Linked DNA regions of Lepisosteus oculatus. The protein of the gene in region 1 interacts with the protein of each later gene in a pairwise test. Links are inferred from orthologs where the notes say so. Each region holds a gene or a part of one and is shown on either strand. Other genes may lie near its edges. The genes, in order: shc1, insrb and shcbp1.

The links.
Region 2: the proteins of shc1 (region 1) and insrb interact in a two-hybrid assay, tested with the Homo sapiens proteins (2 studies listed by BioGRID and IntAct). The link is inferred for Lepisosteus oculatus from reciprocal best matches to the Homo sapiens genes SHC1 and INSR.
Region 3: the proteins of shc1 (region 1) and shcbp1 interact in a two-hybrid assay, tested with the Homo sapiens proteins (2 studies listed by BioGRID, with this or other methods). The link is inferred for Lepisosteus oculatus from reciprocal best matches to the Homo sapiens genes SHC1 and SHCBP1.

Annotation. Positions count from the first base shown.
Region 1 is NC_090722.1:5,526,391-5,533,738, reverse strand, and holds the start of shc1 (SHC-transforming protein 1), read right to left. Parts: upstream 3,103-7,348; 5' UTR 1-3,102. UniProt on the Homo sapiens protein: Signaling adapter that couples activated growth factor receptors to signaling pathways. Participates in a signaling cascade initiated by activated KIT and KITLG/SCF.
Region 2 is NC_090724.1:6,042,507-6,050,498, reverse strand, and holds the start of insrb (insulin receptor b), read right to left. Parts: upstream 3,039-7,992; 5' UTR 1,734-3,038; coding exon 1,655-1,733; intron 1-1,654. UniProt on the Homo sapiens protein: Receptor tyrosine kinase which mediates the pleiotropic actions of insulin.
Region 3 is NC_090715.1:6,687,568-6,695,356, forward strand, and holds the start of shcbp1 (SHC SH2 domain-binding protein 1), read right to left. Parts: upstream 3,081-7,789; 5' UTR 2,939-3,080; coding exon 2,722-2,938; intron 2,206-2,721; coding exon 2,008-2,205; intron 1,196-2,007; coding exon 1,080-1,195; intron 427-1,079; coding exon 218-426; intron 1-217. UniProt on the Homo sapiens protein: May play a role in signaling pathways governing cellular proliferation, cell growth and differentiation. May be a component of a novel signaling pathway downstream of Shc. Acts as a positive regulator of FGF signaling in neural progenitor cells.

The DNA.
Region 1 (7,348 bases):
CGAGACAGCTTGCTGCCTTTACTCTTGAGCAAAGGTGACCCCGATATCTACAATATTCTGAACCTCCGTCATGTATCAGACACCTATGCACAGAAAATTTAATGTTGTACGTTTCAGGAGCACACAGAGAGAATAGTTGTAGAAAATAACTTTGACTGAGTACGTGAACTTTCTTTATTATAACTGTATTATCACAGCATTTTTTTTTTTATCAGGTGGAGCTCAGATTCGTGCCAAGAAGGGAGTTTTTATGAACTTCCCCTGTACTGAAACTCACATTCCCCTCTGTTGAGAACGTTCCCAGTTTGGAAATTTGCCTTTTGTCAGAAAAGTTTTGGTGTGACTTGCAGTAGCGAGTGTGGAGAAACAAAACAAACCACCTGAAGTAATAGGAGAGGTATTGACTCATCTGGGAATATGATCAGACACTAGCAATCCCGATATGAGCGACAGCCTGCCATGACTCAGCGCAAATGCCTAAGAAGGTGGGCTTCACTGTGAGTCAGCGATGGCCATTTCGACACACCGGAGTTCACAAGAAATGTTTTCACCTCCCCTGGAGCAGGAAAAAAAGGTCCTTCCAGCAAACGCCAGTCAGAGAACTGCAAGATCCGAGACGAGAGGGGAACAAGCCGCAATTCAATGTTATCAGGAGGGCAGGACCAACGCAGGGCAGGGACACTACTGAAAACAGAAATTTCGACAGCTCACAGGGGAGCTGGCTTGTTAGGGAAGTGCTTTAGCGCTGCAAGGCGCTATATAACCCCATGCCGTCACCGCGGACAGCTTTCCTTGGCCAGCGGATGGTACCGTCGAACGCTCTTGCCCTTGTGGGTCTGCGCCCCTGTCACTCTCCAGAGAGACCCGCGTGGGGCGTCACCATGCAATCCAGCACCGTACAGGGCTACCCGACGGCAGTCCAACTCGCCAGCACGCCGGAGCGGCTCTCGAGGGGTCCCGTTTTAGGAACGGCACAACCTACCCGTGCATTCGCAGCGAGAGAGAGAGGGGCCTACAGCCTCTCTACTGCGACCGTGAGGGTCAGGTTACAGCCGGAACACCTAGAGCCGGTCAGCACAACCTGGCTACTTCCAGGCCAACAGTGGCAGATCCATAGGCAGACATGGGCTCCACACCGCTGCGCCTTTTTACAACAGGCAACATTACAGCTAATTAATATTAATGACACGGCTGATCACTGTCAGGATATGCGGCCGGGCCTGTGCCATTAAAAACCAGCTCCTTCCGGATTTTCCAGAACAGGACAGCTGCGGACACGAAACAAACAGTGGGATTCAAACCCCTAGGAGCAGAGGAGAAGCCATTCCCACAAATCCCAGTAATGTTAATCGGGAAATAACAGCTAGTAGAACAGCAATCACAGATTCACAACATTAAGGATCCATAATGCTCAATCACAATGAACATTATGGATACTACATCCAACAACTCCTTCAACACCATTGCTACCAAAAAAAACTTTGCAAAATTCCCAGCACGCTGATGGAGTGCAGCTCTCTCACAGTTTTCACCCCCTGGCCTGCTCAAGCAGATGGGAGATTCTCAGTTTAGCTGCAGATTAAATTTTCCTTTCAAATTCCGACTGGCAATCCACGGTTTTTCTTTTATTCCCCTTTCTTCCGTCTTCTCTCCTTCTCGTCCGCTGGCAGGTGCGGACAGGGAGCAAATCCCAGTATCCTCCCCTTCCGTCCAGGAAAACGTGAGCTCCCGTGAAAACTCCTGGAGTTGCTTCCAAAGCGGGCTTCCTCCTGGAAGCCGGCCGTGAGGAAAAACAGGCGGAGGAGACACAAGGCAAGATTCCTTTTCCCGCACTTCCGAACTCCTTCCCCCTTTATTCCTTTTATCCTCTTCCTGAAGTCAGAACGGATAACAGGGCAGCCGGACAAACCTTCCACCTCCTCTTTTCCACCCGGCTCCAGCTCTTGATGCTACATCACCGGGCCCTCGATTTCCCCGGGCGTCTATATGCAGTTTTTCCCCCCTGCTCCCTGGTTTTTGGGGCCTCCCCCCCCCCAATGCACCCCCACCCCCTCTTCTCTTCAGCACAGCCAGGCTCAGCCGGCCAGATCGATGCTGGCAGAGCACAAAGCCGTCAACGGAGGTGGGAAAAAAAAAGGAGACGAGCAAACAGCAAACGCGAGCCGGGCACGGAGATGGAAACTGCTCCTTATAGAAACGAGTCCTTCTGTCTCCGGTGAGGAGCAGGTCTCTCCCCCTCGGTCTCCTCCTCGCCGTCCTGGAGGCGTGTCCTCTCGGAGAGGCACGCGCACACACACACAGGGACACAGACGCTCCCTCTCTCTCTCTCCCCGCTGCCCGTCTTGAAAGCACAGGCGTGCACAGACACACACAGGAAGGAGGGAGGGAGGGAGCACGTGTTTGAAAAGAGACAGGGAAACACAGCGAGCTCGCCCCACCCCCATCGCCATCCACTCCTCCCCTGTAACCTGACTACACTTCCACTCTGTCCCAGATGGGAGGGGTAATAAACAGACATTGACTGGCTGACCAGCTGCACACAGCACTTCCTACATTAACAGCGAGCCGTTCGAGAGCCCTGAGAGGGTCTAATGCACATAAAATGACTGCCCACTCCTGCCTGGCAGAGAGTGAGAGAGGGGTTAATACAGACACACTGACTGACTGGACACTCCAGTACATTAACACTGCACTGAGACAGAGGGGTTAATACACACACACTGACTGGACACTCCAGTACATTAACACTGCACTGAGAGAGAGGGGTTCATACAGACACACTGACTGGACACTCCAGTACATTAACACTGCACTGAGAGAGAGGGGTTCATACAGACACACTGACTGACTGGACACTCCAGTACATTAACACTGCACTGAGAGAGAGGGGTTCATACAGACACACTGACTGGACACTCCAGTACATTAACACTGCACTGAGAGAGAGGGGTTCATACAGACACACTGACTGACTGGACACTCCAGTACATTAACACTGCACTGAGAGAGAGGGGTTAATACAGACACACTGACTGGACACTCCAGTACATTAACACTGCACTGAGAGAGAGGGGTTCATACAGACACACTGACTGGACACTCCAGTACATGAACACTGCACTGAGAGAGAGGGGTTCATACAGACACACTGACTGGACACTCCAGTACATTAACACTGCACTGAGAGAGAGGGGTTCATACAGACACACTGACTGGACACTCCAGTACATTAACACTGCACTGAGAGAGAGAGGGGTTCATACAGACACACTGACTGGACACTCCAGTACATTAACACTGCACTGAGAGAGAGGGGTTCATACAGACACACTGACTGGACACTCCAGTACATTAACACTGCACTGAGAGAGAGAGGGGTTCATACAGACACACTGACTGACTGGACACTCCAGTACATGAACACTGCACTGAGAGAGAGAGGGGTTAATACAGACACACTGACTGGACACTCCAGTACATGAACACTGCACTGAGAGAGAGGGGTTCATACTGACACACTGACTGACTGGACACTCCAGTACATTAACACTGCACTGAGAGAGGGGTTCATACAGACACACTGACTGGACACTCCAGTACATGAACACTGCACTGAGAGAGAGGGGTTCATACTGACACACTGACTGACTGGACACTCCAGTACATTAACACTGCACTGAGAGAGGGGTTCATACAGACACACTGACTGGACACTCCAGTACATTAACACTGCACTGAGAGAGAGGGGTTCATACAGACACACTGACTGACTGGACACTCCAGTACATTAACACTGCACTGAGAGAGAGGGGGGGGGTATCGTATATACAGCAATGGGCGAAGTGCGGGGCAGAGAGCAAAGGAAATCAGGCAGACGACGGGCTGGCCCTAGACAGGGAGTGCCAGCGAGACACAGACCAAGCGCCCCTCCTTCTCTCCCGAGTCCAAAGTCCTCCTTCCTGACGGGTTTCTGCCCCTCGCTGCTCCACGGACATGATCCTCGGAAACTCGGCTTGCACTCCTATCGGGAGTCTGTCCGGTCAGGGTCCTGATCGTCTGCAGCAGGGGTCTCCAGCCCTGGCCACGGACAGCTCCCGTCCAGTAGGGTTTATAAATAACTACGCCACCCACTTCTGCAGCCCCGGAGAGTTTCAGTGGCGATCAGTTCAGCAGGTGCTGTGCTAAGTGATCTAGGGACCCTTTGTAGCTCAAATTTGAAGACCCTTACACCCAGCTTCCTTAGCTGAACACATTTCTTGCTTAACTGAAGAATAACTTGGGAAGTCTAAATAAAAAAGCTGTTTTTATAGCTTGAGAAGCTGTAAAAAAAAAAAAAAACAGAAGATTCAAGGTGCCCTGCTGGGGTTTGGAGACCCCTCAATTTATGGGGGCCAGGGTGGGGAGGAGGAACTTCCTGCCTTGTTAATGAGGGGTCACGACACTTTCAGGCATCCGTGCTCGCCCACGTCAGGCCCTGCGCAGCGACGCACACGGGACAGGGAGCCTTTCAGAAGCTGGATTCAGTTCTGAATCATTCAGCGGCTGCTGAAGTGCTTGGAAACCAGCTGCAATCAGGCATTTCTCAAGGGGTGAACATATTCCAAATCACATTTTCCGCACCCTGATTGCTGTTCTGATTAGTACAAGGTGCAGTAGGAGCAGCAGCAGGAGTGTTAGTACGCAATGTTAGGAGCAGACAAGCACACACTGCTTTGGTATGTTCTACGGAGAAGCCAGGGACATAAAGCATAAATGTGCGCAAAGGAATCAAACTAAAAACCGAGGAGCTGGGAATGACTATACTAACATAGTACAGGAGTGCGTAGTACTGCCGATTCACAAAATCCCTCACCTGAGGCAGATGAAGTAGTGCAGGAGAAGTTTAGTTCAAGAGAAAAGAGAATTAATTTTCTCTGCAAACTAGCATTTACAATAGGGCTCAGTTCCTGGAGGGCCTGGTCTCTTTGCTTCCATCGGAGTAGATGAATAACAATTATTTTCCACACAGGACATTTTTCTACAACGACAACGACTTGGCCAGGGCTACCTAACCCTCCAATTCGCTCCGCTCCACGACTTCGACATAACCGGCTCTTTCATTCCGATATCGATCCTGCATAACCGAGGGGCTGGCAGCAGCTAAGCTGTGAAATGGAGATGGAGCGGACTGGAGGGGCCGCAGGTTGAATAGTACTGGACTACCGAATTAATGAAGCTCATTCCCATCCACGTGGAAGTCAACGTCATCCACGGGCCTGTATGTGAAAGAGGAACCTGTCACTTGTCAACATATAATATACCCTTATGGCCACATTTCACTAAATTAACGGCTGCCATTCCAAGGTCTCTGGAGCCGGTAACCCCATGACAACAGACAGCTCTCCAAGGAATCCCCAATTCACTCCTTAAGGGCAACAGTCCAAAATGCCTCCTAAATCCTCAAAATAAGATGGCTCGTTCTTCAGATGCTTTCACACAGAATGGCAATGACGTCTGTAGAGAGATAAATCGAGAGCCACTTCTGGGTGCTGGACCTTTGCTTGAGGGAACGACAGCCGACTTGACCCTACGGCCAGGTGTCCAGAGCCTCAGACCACCACGCCAGGCTGTCGGCCACAAGACAACAGCAACTGACCACCAGCACGCAGAGTGGTCTAAATGAGCCTTCTTAAGGCCTAATCCATCCCATTTAACTGCTCCCCCCTCCCACCCACTTAAAGAAATCAGCAGCTGTGGACGACCTAAGAGGACCTACAAACCCAGCCGGAGTGGACTTGAAGGAGCCCTGGGCTACAGCTATACACTGCTGTGTTGGTGCCTGCTCCCCGTTGTGCTTTGGGTTGTGCCATCCGTCTCAACACGGCACGGCCCTGGGTAATCGCCGGGTCTCAAACCCAGATCCTGGAGGTCCAGGGTCTCCTGGCTGCTGTTCCAGCTATTAGTCGAATAATTGTTAGTCCCGAGACGCTCCACAGGTGACTGTGCCCTTAAGGAAGCGAACGTTTTGAGAGATCAGCTGCGACCCCAGATCTCTAACTGGCCCCCCCTGGCGGGAGCAGAGATCCAGCCCTCCAGGAGCCGAGCCCGAGACCCCTGGCGTAAGTGAACAGAGGGACAGAAGAGCTCAGAGAGACGACGGGCTCCACCACCCCCACAGCGGACAGCACCCCTCCACCTTCAGCCCGTGCCCGACCTCCACCAGGTGCACCAGAGCTCTTACCACATAGTCCATCCGGCCGCGCCGTCCCCAGGCCCTGGCAGCCGAGACCTGCGGCCACCAAAAACAACCACAGCGCCGTCAGACCGGGACACCGCGCCGCGCCCCGTCCCGGTTGATCGGCGACTGGCTGGGTCCGGGGGGGGGGGGGGGGGGAGGCGGCCACGCGAATCCAGCAAGACGGAGAAGCCGAGCGCTGCAGACCCGGCGTCTCCCATCGCGGTGCTGGAGGGTCTTCTCCCAGCCCCGCTCTGAACCAGCCCCATCAGCCCCTCGCTGGCCTAATGAGACCAGTTCAACAGCCTCAGGCGATACCGCGTTAGAGGGACCGAGAAGAGCCCACAGACGCACCAGCCCCATCCAGGAACCAGGACTGGACACCGCTGTCCACGGTAACTGCGATGGACAGGTGACCTCTGGGCCATCACAATCCCTGTGGCCGGGATCAGATTTCTCCAAAATAGAAAAAAAGGAACAAGCTGAGGGACGGTATATCTCTCCCTGGGACAGGCGAGAGGCTGAGGGACAAACAGATCTCTCACTGGGACAGGCGAGAGGCTGAGGGACAAACAGAGCCTGCAGGTGTGTTCAGGGGCTGCTGAAAATTTCCAGCACTGAAAACGGGCAGATCAGACTCTACTCTGTTGACTCACGTAGACCGACAGGTACACAGAAGAACACAAGGAAAACTAAAGAGAAAGTCACATGTGCTTGAGCAGTGCCTGTCATCAGGCATGTCCAGGCAAGGGGGAGGTATGTGTGGAATTGCCCTGCAGAGAGTGACTGTGCTCACTGAGGGAGACGGGCCAGCCCTACACCAGCCTGTGCTCACTGAGAGAGACGGGCCAGCCCTACGCCAGCCTGTGCTCACTGAGAGAGACGGGCCAGCCCTACGCCAGCCTGTGCTCACTGAGAGAGACAGGCCCGACCTACACCAGCCCGATCTCTGAGAGACACAGGCTTCTGCCTGCTCTGAACACATAATGCATAGCAGGCTCACAGGCAGAACATGTCGGTTTATCTCAGCAAGCAGGCTGGGACAGGCCTCTGTCCGCACTGAGCATAACGGAGACAGTGCATGACTGCCACAGCTTAATCATCGAGACAGACAGGCCTCTGTCTGCACTGACC
Region 2 (7,992 bases), on another chromosome or scaffold:
CGTTTTGAGTGATAATCTTGACACAATATCGATTAATGATGCACAAACATGAAAACATCTCCAGACACGTATACTTCTATTATTGCCAATTTGGAACACGGGGTAGTAATCGATCTTTAGTTCAAAGTTTTTATTATAAAGTTATCTTTAGGGTTGGCTGCTTTGCCGACTCCTCTTTTAAAAGCTGGTTATTTTTAAACGAGAACCAGACACCTGTTAATTTTTTCTCCCCTCAATACTTGTTGAATCATTTAATGAAACGTTTTAAAAAGACTTTTGCATTCACCTGAAGTTGCACAAAAGCTGACTTTTACTCTCTATGGTTTTAAAATAAATCCAGCTTCAATAAAAACGTTGGGGGAAATTCATTTGCTGTGATTTTTTTGTATACATTTTCATCCGTTCACATCTAGATAGGATGGGTACTTCACACGACGGAAAAGTCAGCATTAGTCTTCCACTGTTTTTGGGTTGTGACCGACAGAACAGTATAGGTTATGAAATCGGTGTGTACAAGATTTTGTTTTTCTGTTTGAACAGCGGAACATAATGTCGTGATGTTCTAGGCTACCAAAATCTTTAAGTATCCTATTTGTGCGTGCATGCATTTATCAAGATATTTATCTAGAATCGCTTACTGCATACATCGACCTCTTGCTTTGCATATCAAATAAGTCGGAAAAGCAGATGAAAATTTAGTGTAGAAACTGTCATGACCCACACCAACTGCCCAGAGATACACTAAGCCCCCGCACAGAGTACTTTGTGTCAAAGTGCAGTGTATCAGCAGGGTGTCGGGAGTGGATGAAATGCATAAACAAAATGAACGCGGTTCTTCAAAACTTAGTGTGTGCGTGTGAGCTAATTATTTTATGACGGTAATCTTCGGTCAAATCTGTGCCTTATATAGACTTATATGGCTTATACCCTGACCAACAGGGGAAAAGGGTTAAGATTACCAACTGAAAATGGTGGTCTCTTTTACATTTTCTGCGCAGTTTTCTATATAATATACATTAAAATGCCATAATAAAAACACGACAAACTATTTGCTTTCCTACAATGCTCAGAAAAAAAAATAAGCACGCACCACATCTTGTGTATGCCCGGGTCACATGTAATCCTACAAAACACTGGACTTCTGAATCTCATTTGTTGCATTATTAGTTCAACGTGAACACAGGCCTAGGCGGACAGACGAGTCCCGGACCTTTAAGTTTAGAATCGCTGTCTATATCCCACCCTCTTCCCGCGACAAAGGCTAATCTAGCCTTCGGGCTCATGTATGCGCAAGCAGGCCTCAAAATATAATCGTATAATAATAATTCTCTAAAAAAAATATTTAAAAACTAAAAATGTTACAAAAAAAAACACTTAAAATTTGACTTATTCCGCCGTAAGAAAATGGTATTGGGAAATGTTCTCCCACCAAAAACCGCGTTTTAAAACGTTACGTAAATACTCAAATTAGGTGTAAACAATATATACATTTTGCATTTCTTACAATCTGAGCAGTTCCACAAAACACGAGGCCTATAAAAAACCCTCTAACGATTTAACTGATTTATGATATAAATAGCACATTTGTACACTGTCGCAGCGAAAGAGTTCCAACGCCATCCTTAAATGGAAAATAAAGCTTTGATTTACTTACTTTCTCCATCCGATATCCCGCAATTGCTTAAAACGCAGATAAAAGTAACGAAAGCAACCACCGGGGTGTCCAACCGCATTCTGACCCCAGTGATGTCCTTAAATCCACCAAAAAATGCCAGATTAAAAGGGGAAAAAATCCAAAAATTGAGTAAAACTTTTTCCTTTAATCGTTTATAAAATCAGAGATTCTTGCTTGAAAGCCGTTTTCATACACAACAAAAACAAAAAAACAAAAAAACAAAACCACACCACCCCCAAAAAGGGGGGTGAGGGAATATTTAAACGCGTTTTAATACTCAAAATATGTATTAACTTTTTTTGTTGTTTTACTACTTCGCCAGGTTAGATTTGCATCAAATAATGTGGTCTTGGGTTCTGACAGCACTTTGGCGAACCCAGAGCTTCATTTTAAATCAAGTGATACAAGTCGTCCACTTTCATCGGGTAAAGTTTGTTTGACAAAATCCTCCTTCAGTCGAGAAAATAATTCCCACCAGCAAACCGCTTTAATAAGGAGGTACCCTAAGGGGTAGCGAGTCGCTCATACCCACATAAAAGCTGGGGTTTCCTTCAAAAGGTTAAAAAAAGAAAATTCCTGGATTAGCTGTTGCTTTTCTGCAAGATGCAACTGTTTATTTTGACTTGCAAATACAAAGATCTTCTTTTATTTTTCTGTCCTTTTATAAAGCGTGGTATTCTCCTCCTCTCGCACTGTTGACATGAAAATTAAAAAAAAACGTTTAGTTTTTAATCCCCGGTTTCACTGTGTTTTATACACGATTATTTCCTCCCGAACCTCCCTCTCCTTCCCTGCCCTTTCCGTATCACAGGAAAATAGTGTTACAACGTCCAATAGAAAAATAAACATCACAGGAACTCCGCAGGAAATAATCCGAAAAAAATTGCTTTTCCCTTTCGGTAAAAACGTCCTTCCTCGCTCAGCTTCCTTTTCAACTCTTTGGCGAGTTTCCCAAAGAGTCTTAAAAAAAAACACGTCCCAAACAATGGAAATGTATGATAGTTACTTAACAGTACAAATAAAAAAAAAAAACACAACGCACGGTGCTTCTGGAGTGTGCAAAACTCCCCGCACTGGTTTTTTTCTCTTCTTCTGCTTCTGCTTCTTCGTCTTCGTCTTTTTGGGCTAATCTGAGCCCGGACAGGTTATTTTACCTTTCGTGGTTTTTTTTTTTGGAAAGCAGGCTGTAGAAAAGATTTTCGGACGACGGCGAAAAGCGCGACAGCAAGGTAAACACGCGTCGACAGCAAGCGAATCTGCGGAAAAAAAAGCTAAAAAACTTCTCTTTTCCCCCCCGAATCTGCAGTACCGCTCGTCCTCTCTCTCTCTCCGCTAAAGTTCCCCCTTTTTCAGTCTCTCAGTATCTCCCTGCCAGTAAACAAGAGCTGCCAGTCAGCTGGCGCAAGGCACGGCGCAAACTACGGACTGGATTTGACAGCCTAAAAAAAAAATACGACCTGGAGTCAGCAGAAACGAGTGGGAGTTGGGGGGGGGGGGGGGGTGAGGGGGTGTATGTTTAGTATGTTCAGGGGGGTGGAACCGCCGGGGAATGACATCAGTGCATCAGTGCAACCTGAACGCATGCTGTTTCATTAGCATAACCCCCCGGTAATTGCTCGACTTTCGTGGTGTGTTGAACGGCTGCCCCACTTGAAAAACAAAACGGAAACGGACCCGTCTCATCTTTGGGCAGGATATTGGGTTCCAAACATCCTATACTCATTCTAGCGCCCAGTTTGCATAGATTTAGCAAAGGTAATTGGCCATACGCTAGATAGTTAGTTGTTGTTTCTTATTTCTGTGGCTGAAAGTAATATATATGTGTGTGTGTGTTGATTCTCTGCTTTAACACCTATAAAAGAACAAGCAATAGATCTATTCCATGCTGAAAAGGGAAGAGAGAAAACACAACGTTTCGGCTGTGAAGGCTTTGTAGGCGAAACGTTGTGTGCTCTCTCTTCTCTTTTCAGCATGGAATAAACCTATTACTGATTCCTTTGCAGACCACGCAAGCTGACGCAGCTCCCCACCTGAACTACTTCCAAACCTATATTTCGGTTGTCAGTCCCATAGTGCCAACACTAGTCTATGTGCTGCAACAGGAGTAAGGCAGCTCTGTTCTCGGGACTGAACTCCATATTGCTGGGCACACTCGGGTCAGCAGGAGAGGGGCTCAGACCTGCAGATGAAAACACACACAAAGTGAACACTAAATGAGATAGGCGAGGCACTGTTTTTTAGTGCTGTGAAAATCCAGCAAATGATCGTGTGAGAAAGGGTCTGTGATGCGATCTTTGTTTTAACGCTAATTAAGAAGTGCCCGATCACTGTCACAGATAGCGTGGTAGAAAAGGGGTGTGCTGGGATTATCAGATTGTTGTTGCCAGGGGTGTGATCTTCTGCCAGTGGTACAGAAATGCTTGTGAAGATGGTTCTACCTGTCACGCACTTCCTTGTTTAAAAGTAATTCATTTATAGTGGGCTGGGAGGTGGCACCTGATCTGCCTGTAAGTAACACCTTTGTCTGCTGGAAGGTTAACGTCACCAAACATCTAATTGTGTGTCTGTATTTAAATGGGCTGTTGAAATACAAATCGTTAATAGCAGTCCGTGTTCCACTGTAGATTTGCTTTTATTGACAAAATAAGATTTATATCAGTAAGGTTCCTTCTTTCTGTTGGTGGATAAATATGCAACTGGCCCCTGCAGCAAGCTGTTTTTGAGTTCTGCAAAACAAGAGCGCTTCCACAATATCTGTCCCGTGTGTTTCTCATATGTGAGAGAAGAACTTTCCTGAAATAAAGCAGGTCACTGCGTGTCTGCTTTTGCGATCTTTTGGCTGAGAGGTTGCTTGAATAAGAGGCTGCTTTCCTTAAATAACTTTTTTTGCTGTTTACATGGGAGCTTGGAAAGGGGCTGGTTGGAAATGAAACATTTTTCCATTCTCATTATCGCGAGCCTCAGCTCTCTGGACTGTTTGTCTCAGCTGCTCCAATTGGCACAAAATAAATCTTCACCTGCAATGGGCAACACCACAAAACAACCCAGACCTACTCTCCACAGCCTGCAGGCTATACGCATCACTATTTCCCTTTTAACAAATAGATATTTTTTAAACTCAGTTGTCTGTCTGCCCTTTGACAGTCATCAGGAGTTTTTAAGCAAGTGACAACTTCACAAAGAACTAATTCTAGCTTTTGAGAGTTGTTCCAAATTTTAGTAGGTTTTAATGGCATTTCAAACCAATAGGCACCTGCTGCTACTTTTAATACCAACAACAGGGGAGAATAAAACTCACATTGTGGGTATCAAGATAATGATGGTGACAGCAGCATTATTTTCTTGTAAGCTGATTGTTAGAAATATGCTGGCCAGTATTGGCATGAGAGACCTCTGATTAAAAAACAGGTTGCTGTTGTAAGTAGTACTGTAGGGGGCACTCTTTAAGCTGACATGGTGCAGTCCTACAGATGAAATGCTGAACAGGGGTGCTGACTACATGGTCATTAACAATCCCATGATGCCGTTCAAGTGAGTAGGGGTAATTACTGGGGGTGCTGGTATAGAAGGACAGTCCATTGCCACAGAACGGGGTCCTGCATAGCAGTGGTGGCAGAGGTGCAGGTCCCCAAAACTTAAAAGTCTTTTGGGGTGAAAAACACTATATAAATGTAAATTAGCAGTGCAGATGTTGAACCTTTGTTCTAACCATAGTTTTTACAGTATATGCATGCTAAGTGTGGTATCTTACTGAGCCTTTATTTTATTTTTTTTACTTTTCATGGAAATCTGAAGGGTGCTATTTTCTTTTTTTTTTGCATTCTACCAATCTGGAATTAGATTCCTGCTGCAGTCCTCTGTACAGCACCCGTTGGGGCTGTGATGTCGGGACACTCCTCTGAAACTCGCCCTTGTCAGAGACATTTGCCTTTTTGCACCTCGGCAGCCCCGACTCGAACCCGATGCGAACGGTCTGTTTCGGGAGGCCCCCCGAAATAGTGCCTCTGCTGTTTGAGCCACTTAGGAGTCCTGCTCTTTATTAACGCTGCTCACTCCGCGGCAGGGCTTGCCTTTTCTCATGTCCTTCCATATGATTCCAGTCTGGTTAAATGTCTGTTTGTCAGGATCCGAAAGAATGTTCTCACGCCTTGAGGCCATTAAACACGAGACATCCTTCAACCACTTCCGTTGGGAGCTAGTAACAATCCCCTGGGCACAGGTAACACTTGGCAGCAACACCCACTTCACACTGAGACCAACCTCACGTAATCACCCTAACCCTTTGTGTGCCAAGTGGTGATGAAATAACAAGGGAACATCTGCATTCTGATCCAGCCCGACAGCAGTTTGAGCAAGCATTTGTTTTTTGCTCCGTTTTAGAAGTGATTCAGACAAGACCAGCTAGTCTTCCTGGAGGGTAACGATCGATACACCTCCTGTACTGAACATCCCAGGGTAAGAATGCTGAGCGCAAGCTTTGAATTTGAGAGATACATTTACTAAACCACCACATCGCAACAACAGGGCTCACGTCTTTTCTCCTGTACAAGAGGCAAAAGGCATACAGTTGAAAAGGCATGTTTTAAAGATACGTGCATTGTGTCAGCTTAGAAGAATGATGGACAGTAGTGAAAACACCATTTACCCAGTTCCTGACATAACAGCAGATAATGGTAGACATTGTGTACAAGCTTATTGTCTTTAGTTACCTGCTCCTATAATCACTACAGTGCAATAACAGAATGCAGCTTTGTTTCTGTTTCAAAATAAACAGGAGTGTGCAATTATTCCTAAAGTCCGCTGTGCGTGTGCCATGGGTATCTGAAGGGCACCGCAACAATACCTGAAAGTCAAGGACAGGGTGGCTGTGAGCTCACCAGGAGGTTTCCCTCGTCATTGTGTCAGGGACGGCAGGAGCTTGATTCATCACGCCGCCTGTCAAAAGAGGACGTGCCACCGTCTCCGTTTAAAGCCTCCACGTTAGGACAAATAATGGAGAGTACACAATTTTCTTTCAAAGCGGGAAGGCTCAGTTCGCGAGTTGTATAATTATGACCCACAGATCGACGTGATAATTGGAGGCCACAGTCTTTTGACTTACATTATTTGCAGCTGTTTTTGGACATAACACTGATTTCCCAACCGTCTGTGATGATGATGATGATGATGATAATTATTATGAGTAATAATAATAATAATAATAATAATAATAATAATAATAATAATGTGATTTGTACTATTTTGAATTGAATAATGCCCGGGCTTTGTCTTCTGAAATTTTAAAAGATCTGACGTACTTTTTTGTGTTTAAACTTTCTTCTCCTGCATCTATAACCTCGCAGGGCAGTTTCCGCTGATGTGCCGACAGCTCCTGAAAGATCTGTGCAGATCCTTTTCACCTGGGAGTGCACAGCCAGGCCTCCGTGTTCCCCTTACCGCAGTAAGTCCCACCACCAAGAGGTGTCAGTACAAGACGCAGCACAGCAGGCGTGTGGAGTGGAAGAAGATAAATCATAGCAATTGAGCTGGGAATAACAGAATGGGGTTAAGTAAGGTTAGCTAAAAAAAGACAATTCTCGGCCTCAGAAATTATCGTGCTGACTTGGGGGCTGGGCAGCTATGAAGGGACACAGGCTGTCTCTGACAGACGGCATTCTTTCTCTCCTTCTTGTGCGGCCTTGTCTTGTGATCATGAGAGTTACAGCAGACAGGGGTCCAACTGCAGGGCCGGTATGTTGAAAGGAGAGAGGCTGTGGATGTGCACAACACAAAGCACTGTCCTCAGCCCCACTGCCTTTCTAAATCTGACCAGACGTGCATGGTGTGAGCTCACTGAGGGCACTGGGTCATTCATGGATGAGGAGCCACACGAGCAGCATAGGAGAGCCTTCACTGAATATACCTAGGCCCGAGTCATGATACTGCAAAGATCTATCATACCTGCTGGGGTAGGAATTTGGAAAGAATTGCTTGCTACTGGGAACAATTCAGCGCTAATATCCATCCCTTTTCTAAATGCTGCTTGCGATTCAGGGTTGCCGGGGAGGCGGAGCCTATCCTGGCAAGCAACAGGTGCAAACCAAGGTACAGCCTGGACAGGACACCGGGCCGTATGACAAACACACACACAAACAATCACAACAGGGCTCATTTCCGCAGAAGCCAATGAACTCACCAGCATGTTTCAGGACTGAGGGAGGAAACCAGAGCACCCAGAGGAGAAAACACAGGAAGAACATGCAGACTCCACACAGACAGCACCTCAGGTCTGGAATTGAACCCAGGGCCCCAGTGCTACCCGGCAGCACTCCTAACCT
Region 3 (7,789 bases), on another chromosome or scaffold:
GAATAATAAGGATCACTGGTTACAAAAAGGGGTAACAGTTTGTAGATACAACAAAAGTTTTCATGGAAATTCACAAGGCTTTCATTAACTTTCACTTTTCCAAGAACCACATTCATCATTCTCCACTTCAAACCTCTGTACAGAACAACAAAGTCAGGACTGTCTGGATTTTCTCCAGCTAAGTAAAACAAGTTCTAAATATGCATAAATAATTTACCTTAAGTGCTCTAAAGCAAGTGCTGTTTGATCGAATTCCCCTGATTCATCAAACACAACACTGAGTTCCTGCAAAGGCACTTGATGTTCTTTTGCCTCCAGCAGGTCCCTCATGGACTCCTCTGTGAGCTCACAGCCTTTTCTCTCACACAGGAGAGGCTGAACCAGCTCCACCCTGGCTTTCAGACTGGAACACTCCACATCCACCACCTGCAATGACAGTTAGAAAGGACTTCTGAGTCACCAATCTCAGAATTAAATTAAAAAGCTTTTAGCAACATTGCATAACACCTCCCAATTGTTCCCCGGACTTTTTTAAAATATAAAGCTAACTGAATGCATAAAAAGATCTAAAAACAGAACAAACCAGTGCACTGATTTAAGAAAAGCATCTTGTGACAAGGAAGGCATGATTAAAGTAAAAATGAAATTATAAAATGAAAATCAAGATAAGGTTGAGTGATTTTTTTGGGAATGGGAGAAACATTACCATTTTCTTCTTTTAGAAAAAGCATTACTGATCTCATGAAACCATAGATCTGTAGCACATTCCAAACAACTATTTTTGAATTGCACTCCAATCGTGAGTGGCAAACAATGCAGCTAAGTGTATCAAAAACAAGACAAATTAGAATTACCTTACTTTAACTGCAAGTAAATTTAGTTGTGCCCCAAATGGTCAATAGTATTGAAAGATTCTAACCCTTCTAAGAGACACCTAAAATGCCTGAATTTGTTTTCCTGTCAGTGCTTTGTACAAGATGTTACAAGAGTTGACTTTCAGTTCTATTGCCTCAAGCTCTCTGTACTTTTGCAATAAACAAAGGTGAAGAAGGTGCCCACGATGGTGCATTCAGACATACCTCAACCAGTACATCAAACACTTCTGTGCTCCACACAGCACGCCAGCCACAGGGCTCCAGAACCTTCTCCAAGTAGTCTGCAGTAAAATCTCTAACTTCTGAGGTTTTACAGTCACCTTCAGGGAAACCAAAACACACATTGTTAGGACTCATTTCTGCAATCTGTCTATCCATTATCAGACATCCAAGTATTACTGGTGAGGGTCACAGCAAACCAGAACATCCTGTAAGCACAAGACAGGGCTACATCCCACACAGCACCACAGTGCATCACGGGACACATATGCGCAAGTATGTGGAGCAATTTACAAATGCCAATTCAGCATGCCTTTGGAAGACCGGAGGAAACTCCTTTGAAACAAAGAACCGTCAGCACACCACTCCAGAACCAAATATCTGTGAAAACGCAGCAACACTGTGTGCCATATCACTGTGCCACACAACTCTGTATTCATAAAGATTAAATATTTTTAAACCAATGTGAGTATCTGCTGACCAAAACTGTGCCGTTTTGACCTTTAAGAACAAAGAGACCTTTTCATGGTTTTCATAAAGGATGGATTGTAAGCAATCCTGAAATAAAGTATCAACATCTGTCAGTGCATCCCTCAATTTTATGAAAAGGTTTCTGAAGAAATATGCATAGTACCTTACACTTATATAGCATTTATCTGGCCACTCCACTCAAAGAGCTTTACAGATAGTGGGGACTCCCCTCCACCACCACCAATGTGTAGCACCCATCCAGATGATGCGACAGCAGCCAAAGTGCACACAATATACTCAACCCACATCAGCTCTCAGTGGGGAGAACAGAGTAATGAAGCCAATTCTTAGATGGGGATTAGGAGGCCATGATTGGTAAAGACCAAAGGGAAATTTGGAACAATAGTGCAAAGTGAGAACAGTCAATATAGAAAGCAATTACCTAGCATGTAATCTTGATAAGCTTTAAACCTCTCATAAAACAGAAGCTGGTTAGTCTGGAAGATGTCAGGGAAAGCAACATTTCCTGTGCATTCTGCCCTCTGTAAAACTGTGCCTGGCTTGTCACTGCTGCCATAATCACTACAACTGTCATCATCTTCCTCGGTATCTTCATCTTCATCATTTTCCTGAAAAAGAACTAAGAAAACACAAAACAATCAAACTTAATACTTGAAAGATTTAAGGGAATCTTTTGGTTAAACAGCGTCAAGTTAACATCACTTTGTCGTATTTGAATGCCCACTATGTAATTCAGAGTTTTTATCTAGACCAAATTAACGGTGCTTCTCCCTTCAATCAAAACAAGGAGGTTCACCAAAAAACTCTAAACAAAGGGAGATCTGTTTCTGGACAAATCCTCAAGTTTGAAAGTTTAACTTAGACCGACAGTAATACACAAAATTGCTTTTAAGCTCGTTGCTAACAACGAAAGATATTCAAATACAGAGCTGAAAAAAAATCGGAATTTGATTGCATTAGTAACTGCAATAGCTTCGGTAATACCTCTTTACCTGTTTAAATATGATCGATTTTAACTTTGGAATGTTGCAATTACTACTAAGGTAACCTCAGCGAAAAACAGGAGACGCTCCTCTCACTCTATAAATTATCTTAGGCTGTACATTTTATATCTGAACAACAAACAACGGCCTACCTTGCTTTATATACAGAATTTCACCAGGCATCTGATCGATTCCAGCAGGTTCCATTTCAACTTCTGTTTCCAAATCGATCTTTTCTTGTATTTCATTTTGTATTAGAGACGTAGCCGCTCCCTCGTCACATTTTGCTACAGGCTTAATTTGCAACTCTGGAATGCCAGCGTTTGTTTCAGCCTGCATTGTACTTGCAGAGGCGATATCTTCAGCCATTGTACTTGTTAAGGTTAAAGCGAGTCTAAGTTACTTTTAAAAAGTGTGCAACCGTCTAACAAACTTTAGTGAAAGAAACCATTAAAACACATCCTATACTTTGCTCCTCCTGCAAACAAATTCAAAATTCCCCCGGTTAAGAGAAGACTGACCAATGAGAAAACAACATGAAAACGCAATTTCCTTTTCTGGTTAGGCTCATGACGTCATTGACTAAAAAACAAAACAAGAGCACGGCTCTAAAGAGCCAAAATGGCGTACAAGAACTGCAGTTACACAGGACTGTAATACATTACAAACAGGAGATGAGGTGTTAACAGAATTATTATAGCAGGCAAAAGCGAATTACTAATGAATGACTAAAAATTAATAAGTATTAATTCGATCTAATAAATTAATTAATATAACTTATGTCAACAACATAAAAGTTAAATATATTTATGAACCCGTATTTGAAATAAAACATTATATATTTAACTGTATTCAACAAAAATGTTTTATGTGTTGTGGTTGGATATATGTAATTCATGCATAAGTCTTTTTTACCTTTAATTCTGCACTAACAGAAGCAACTTTATTTATATGAACCATGCAGGGGCAGTGCTATTAAAATATCCCCCCCCCCCCCCCCCTCAAAAAAAAATAAATAAAAAAAATACAAGGGAAATGGTCAAACCAAATTATCAGTATTCTGTCAGGTCAGTAATTGTGAACTGCTGCATGAGAGCTATCTATATCATATTGAAATCTCCACATTTCATTTAGTGCTAAAGGGCTGCTGTCACAGATGTCGGAAGGGATGAACCGTGGAGAGGCGGGAGAACAGAAAAAGACCCATATGCGTAGCAGCGGAATGGGAGATTACCCCAGGCTCAGCAGTTCAGGAGTCGTATAGAAACCAATGCCCTCAGGCAGCGGATGTGGGGCCACCTGGATGCTAGGCGGGTCTCAGGACATCCGAACATCAATGCTGAGCGAAGGTGAATGAGAAACCCGGAAATATATAGCCCAAGAAAGAGAGACACCGGAAGGACAGCAAAGCATAGGAAACTAGGGACAGAACAGAGTAGGAGCGCCCTCTGGCTGCAGAGGGCGTGACAGCTGCAGATGTAAAAGTATTGGCTTTTGGGTTATGGCAGTTCAATAAACTCAAGATTTTTCCATTACTTCTGACACTGAGAGGCTGTAGTGGAGGGTATTGTTGCCTTTAAGTGTATCTTGATCTTTAATAATCTTTCATGCAGACTGTAGTTGAAAAATCAATGCAAAACACATTTTTCTAAAGAAACCTTTCAGTCAAGGAAAGAAGATTCATAATGAACCCATCAGTAGAAACCCTGAGGACGCCCTTCTTCATGTTCACACGTGAGTTACATTACTGCTGCTGCAGGGGAAGAGCTGAACTTGTGTTTTTTTTCTAGCCATGCTCCAAAGGTAGAAGGCAGCTGCTGAGAGATGCCTGAAGATGAATGGTGTTGCTGGCGCTTTTCAGAAAAAGCTTTTCTGGAGAAGAAACCTGGAGCTGTACAATTTTGTGGCCTCAACACAACCAAAAACAGTTGTGCCACATGATACATAAGAACATAAGCAAGAGGAGGCAATTCTGCTCATCTAGTGTGTTACAAGAATTTCAAGTGGATGGCAGAATAAAAAAAAAGAAAAGAGACACAACACAGAGCAATCATTGTGGAACCTTCTTCAGGTGCATCACTTCTTTCCCTTTCAGCATGGGATAAACCTTTATCTGTTCCTTTGTTACACAGATGTCATAGAGCTGTTTTTTTGGAAGGAAGCCAAGATATCGGCTTCAACAAGATAACAGGTAGCTTATTTGATAACACCACAACCTTTTGTGTGGAGCACTGCCTCCTATTGTCTGTTTTAAATGCACTCTCACATATTTTCCACTTGTCGTCTCTGGGTAGTGTTGGAATATTGTTGATTTAGATTTGACATAGACTTTGGCGAAGACCTTGAAGATTTTGAATACTTGTATCAGGTCCATTCGTAATCGTCTCTGTTCAGAACTTAAAATGTTCAGATATTCAGCTTTAACTGCACAGAGGATAGCAGAAATACTGTAGCTGTTTTACTTCTCCAATCCATTTTACTTCTATCAGTTTAGAATGTCAGCAAGAACATTCTTTTTACTGGTGGTGGAGCTGTAGTAGGACAAATAAACTTATCTATTGAATTAAGTTTAATTTAATATAGGACCTCCAAAAAGCAATCATTGGTCTGATATTACCAATGTAAAATCATTTGTAATATCAATTTGAATTCCTAGCCAATTTTGTAACATGAATAATAATCCTAACCCTTGAAACTAACTTTTAAAACAAAACAAAACAAAAGTCATCCTCGCTCCTGCCTAATCTTTATTTCTATCCCACAAAACCTAGTTTAATGGAAAACTAAATATAACTGTAATATAACAAAAACCCGAACACACGCCAAAGTGTTAAACTTTATACTGATCCTTATTCAGCTCTATCCCCAGTCCCTTCCCAACTAGCCAAGCTCTTACTTCCAGCCTACTGTAGTTCTAGGCTTATCCTAAATATTAACCCAAAAGGAAGCTGATACAAGAACCAGTGTGATGACAGAAAGTACCACAATAAATCTATAAAATTATTTTCCGTGGCTAAATAAATGATTCATGTGCTTATTATGGGTGAATTTCATTCAGTGTAACAACTCAGTCTGCACACTGTCATTTCAGAGATGTTTTGATTGCAATTAGGAATCAGTAATTTATTAATCAGCATGAAGCGGACCCCACAGACTTTGCAACATTTTACTTCTAATTTGATTGTCTGAAGCAGCAGAGTGGAACTATTCTGGATGTGTGGCAATGGGTCTTCATATAGCCACCCAAGAACAGAACGATGCATTTTTGAGCCATTCCCAGAGACAGCAGAGTGGCAGCTTTGTATCCTCTGGTCCAAAGAATCCTCTGTTAAAAACTATTGGAAATGGTCCCTGCTGAACTTCTCTCATTTCTCAGGCAGATGGCAATAGAGAGACGTTTTTAAAACCAGCAAACAGTAAAAACACAATTTTACCATATAAGATCAACGTTAATAAAAGATTATGCTAATCTGTATGAAGATTATTTTTACAATGCTAACAACGTTAACAAGTGTTATATTTTTGCAGATTGCTGTAACAATACCGGATAAGCAGCCTGAAAAACAATATGAAAGGCAATTTATAAAATAGGACATTATTGATTTTGTCAGCTTTAGTGTGATGTAAAAATTACAATGAAATAGTAATAAAAGTAGTAGTAAGAACAATATTTGCTAATTATTTTGCTCATAAGCAGAACAGCTGAGTGGCAGATATTTATATTACTGCTTTACAGCTCTTGGCTGCTGAGTTGGATTCCTGACTCATTACTTTTACTAGAGTTTGCATGTTCTCTCAATTTCCTCTCACCTTCTAAGGGTATGCTGACTAGGCTCTAGGTGGCCAACTCTGGTACTGAAGAGCCACAATCCAGCAGGTCTACAGAACAGATTGACAGGTATTAATTTAAATATTGCAATATTTCATTAACATTAAAATATTTGAAGTATAATAAATGACTTAAATTAGAAAAATATAAATTCTTTAAAAATAGAAACATGTGGCTAGGGTGGCAAGTGGCACAGTGGTTAGCATTGGTACCTTGCAGTGCTGGGGCCCTTGGTTAAATTTCTAGGGTGTTTTCTGAATGGAGTTTGTCTAATGGAAACCTATGTTTTTAATACGTTTTGTCTAGGTACTCTGGTTTCCTTCCACAGTCTATAGGGTAAATTAACTGGCGTTCCATCCAGGGTGTACCCTGGCTTGTGCCTATTGCTTAAAGGATAGGTTCCAACTCCACTGCGATACTGTGTTATGTAAAGGGGCTTTAGAAAATGGATGAATGGATGAAAATGGGTCTAAAAAGGTTTTTGGAATAAACTACAGTACTTTGTGAATTTATCTCAGTAAGTTTTGACCTCGCAAAAAGCATGCTCATCATTGTCACACCTTTCACATACATTTCAGCCTTGTGATGGGATTTGGCGTTAACACACACCATTAGAAATTCCCCTCCACAGTGTCCATTTGAAGACTAGGTCAATCCTTTTATCCACAATATTGGCTGCATGTTAGTCCGGAGACTCAGAAAAAGCATCAGAGAGCCAGCAGGTGTCCTGCACAATGGTTTTGTGGAATGACACTTGTAACACAGGAAGAAGACAGCTGCAGGGAGTGAGTCACAGAATACCACTCCCACTGCACTACTGATCAGGCTCATGTCATCCTATTTTAACAGATTTCTAGCCAAGGATGAATTTTACTTCAACAACAACAACAACAAAAGGAGTACAATAAAGAAAAGTAATAATAATAATAATAATAATAATAATAATAATAATAATAATAATTATTATTATTATTATTATTATCATTATTATTATTATTATTATTATAATGTCTGATTTTAAAATCTGACATTTGTGGCTGATGGCAGAGTTCTGTCTATTTACGTTTGTTCTGTCTTTCTGTCTCATTCAGTTGTTAACACGACAATTCAATAATGCCTGTATATCAACAGAACAACTAGCGTCCTGTCCAGGGAGTATCCCGCCTTGCACCCATTGCTTGCCAGGATAGGCTCCAGCTCCCCCATGACCCTTTATTGGATAAAGGGGTTAAATATTGAGAGAAAGATTGGATAAAGTCTTATTTTGTGTCTTTCAGTGATTTAAAACTTTAGTAATATATTTTGACTTTTAGACTGGTAATTCTTTGCCAATCTTTAGCAGGTGATGACAGCCCAATTAGGTGTCAGTAGCAATAAAGGAAACCTGACCA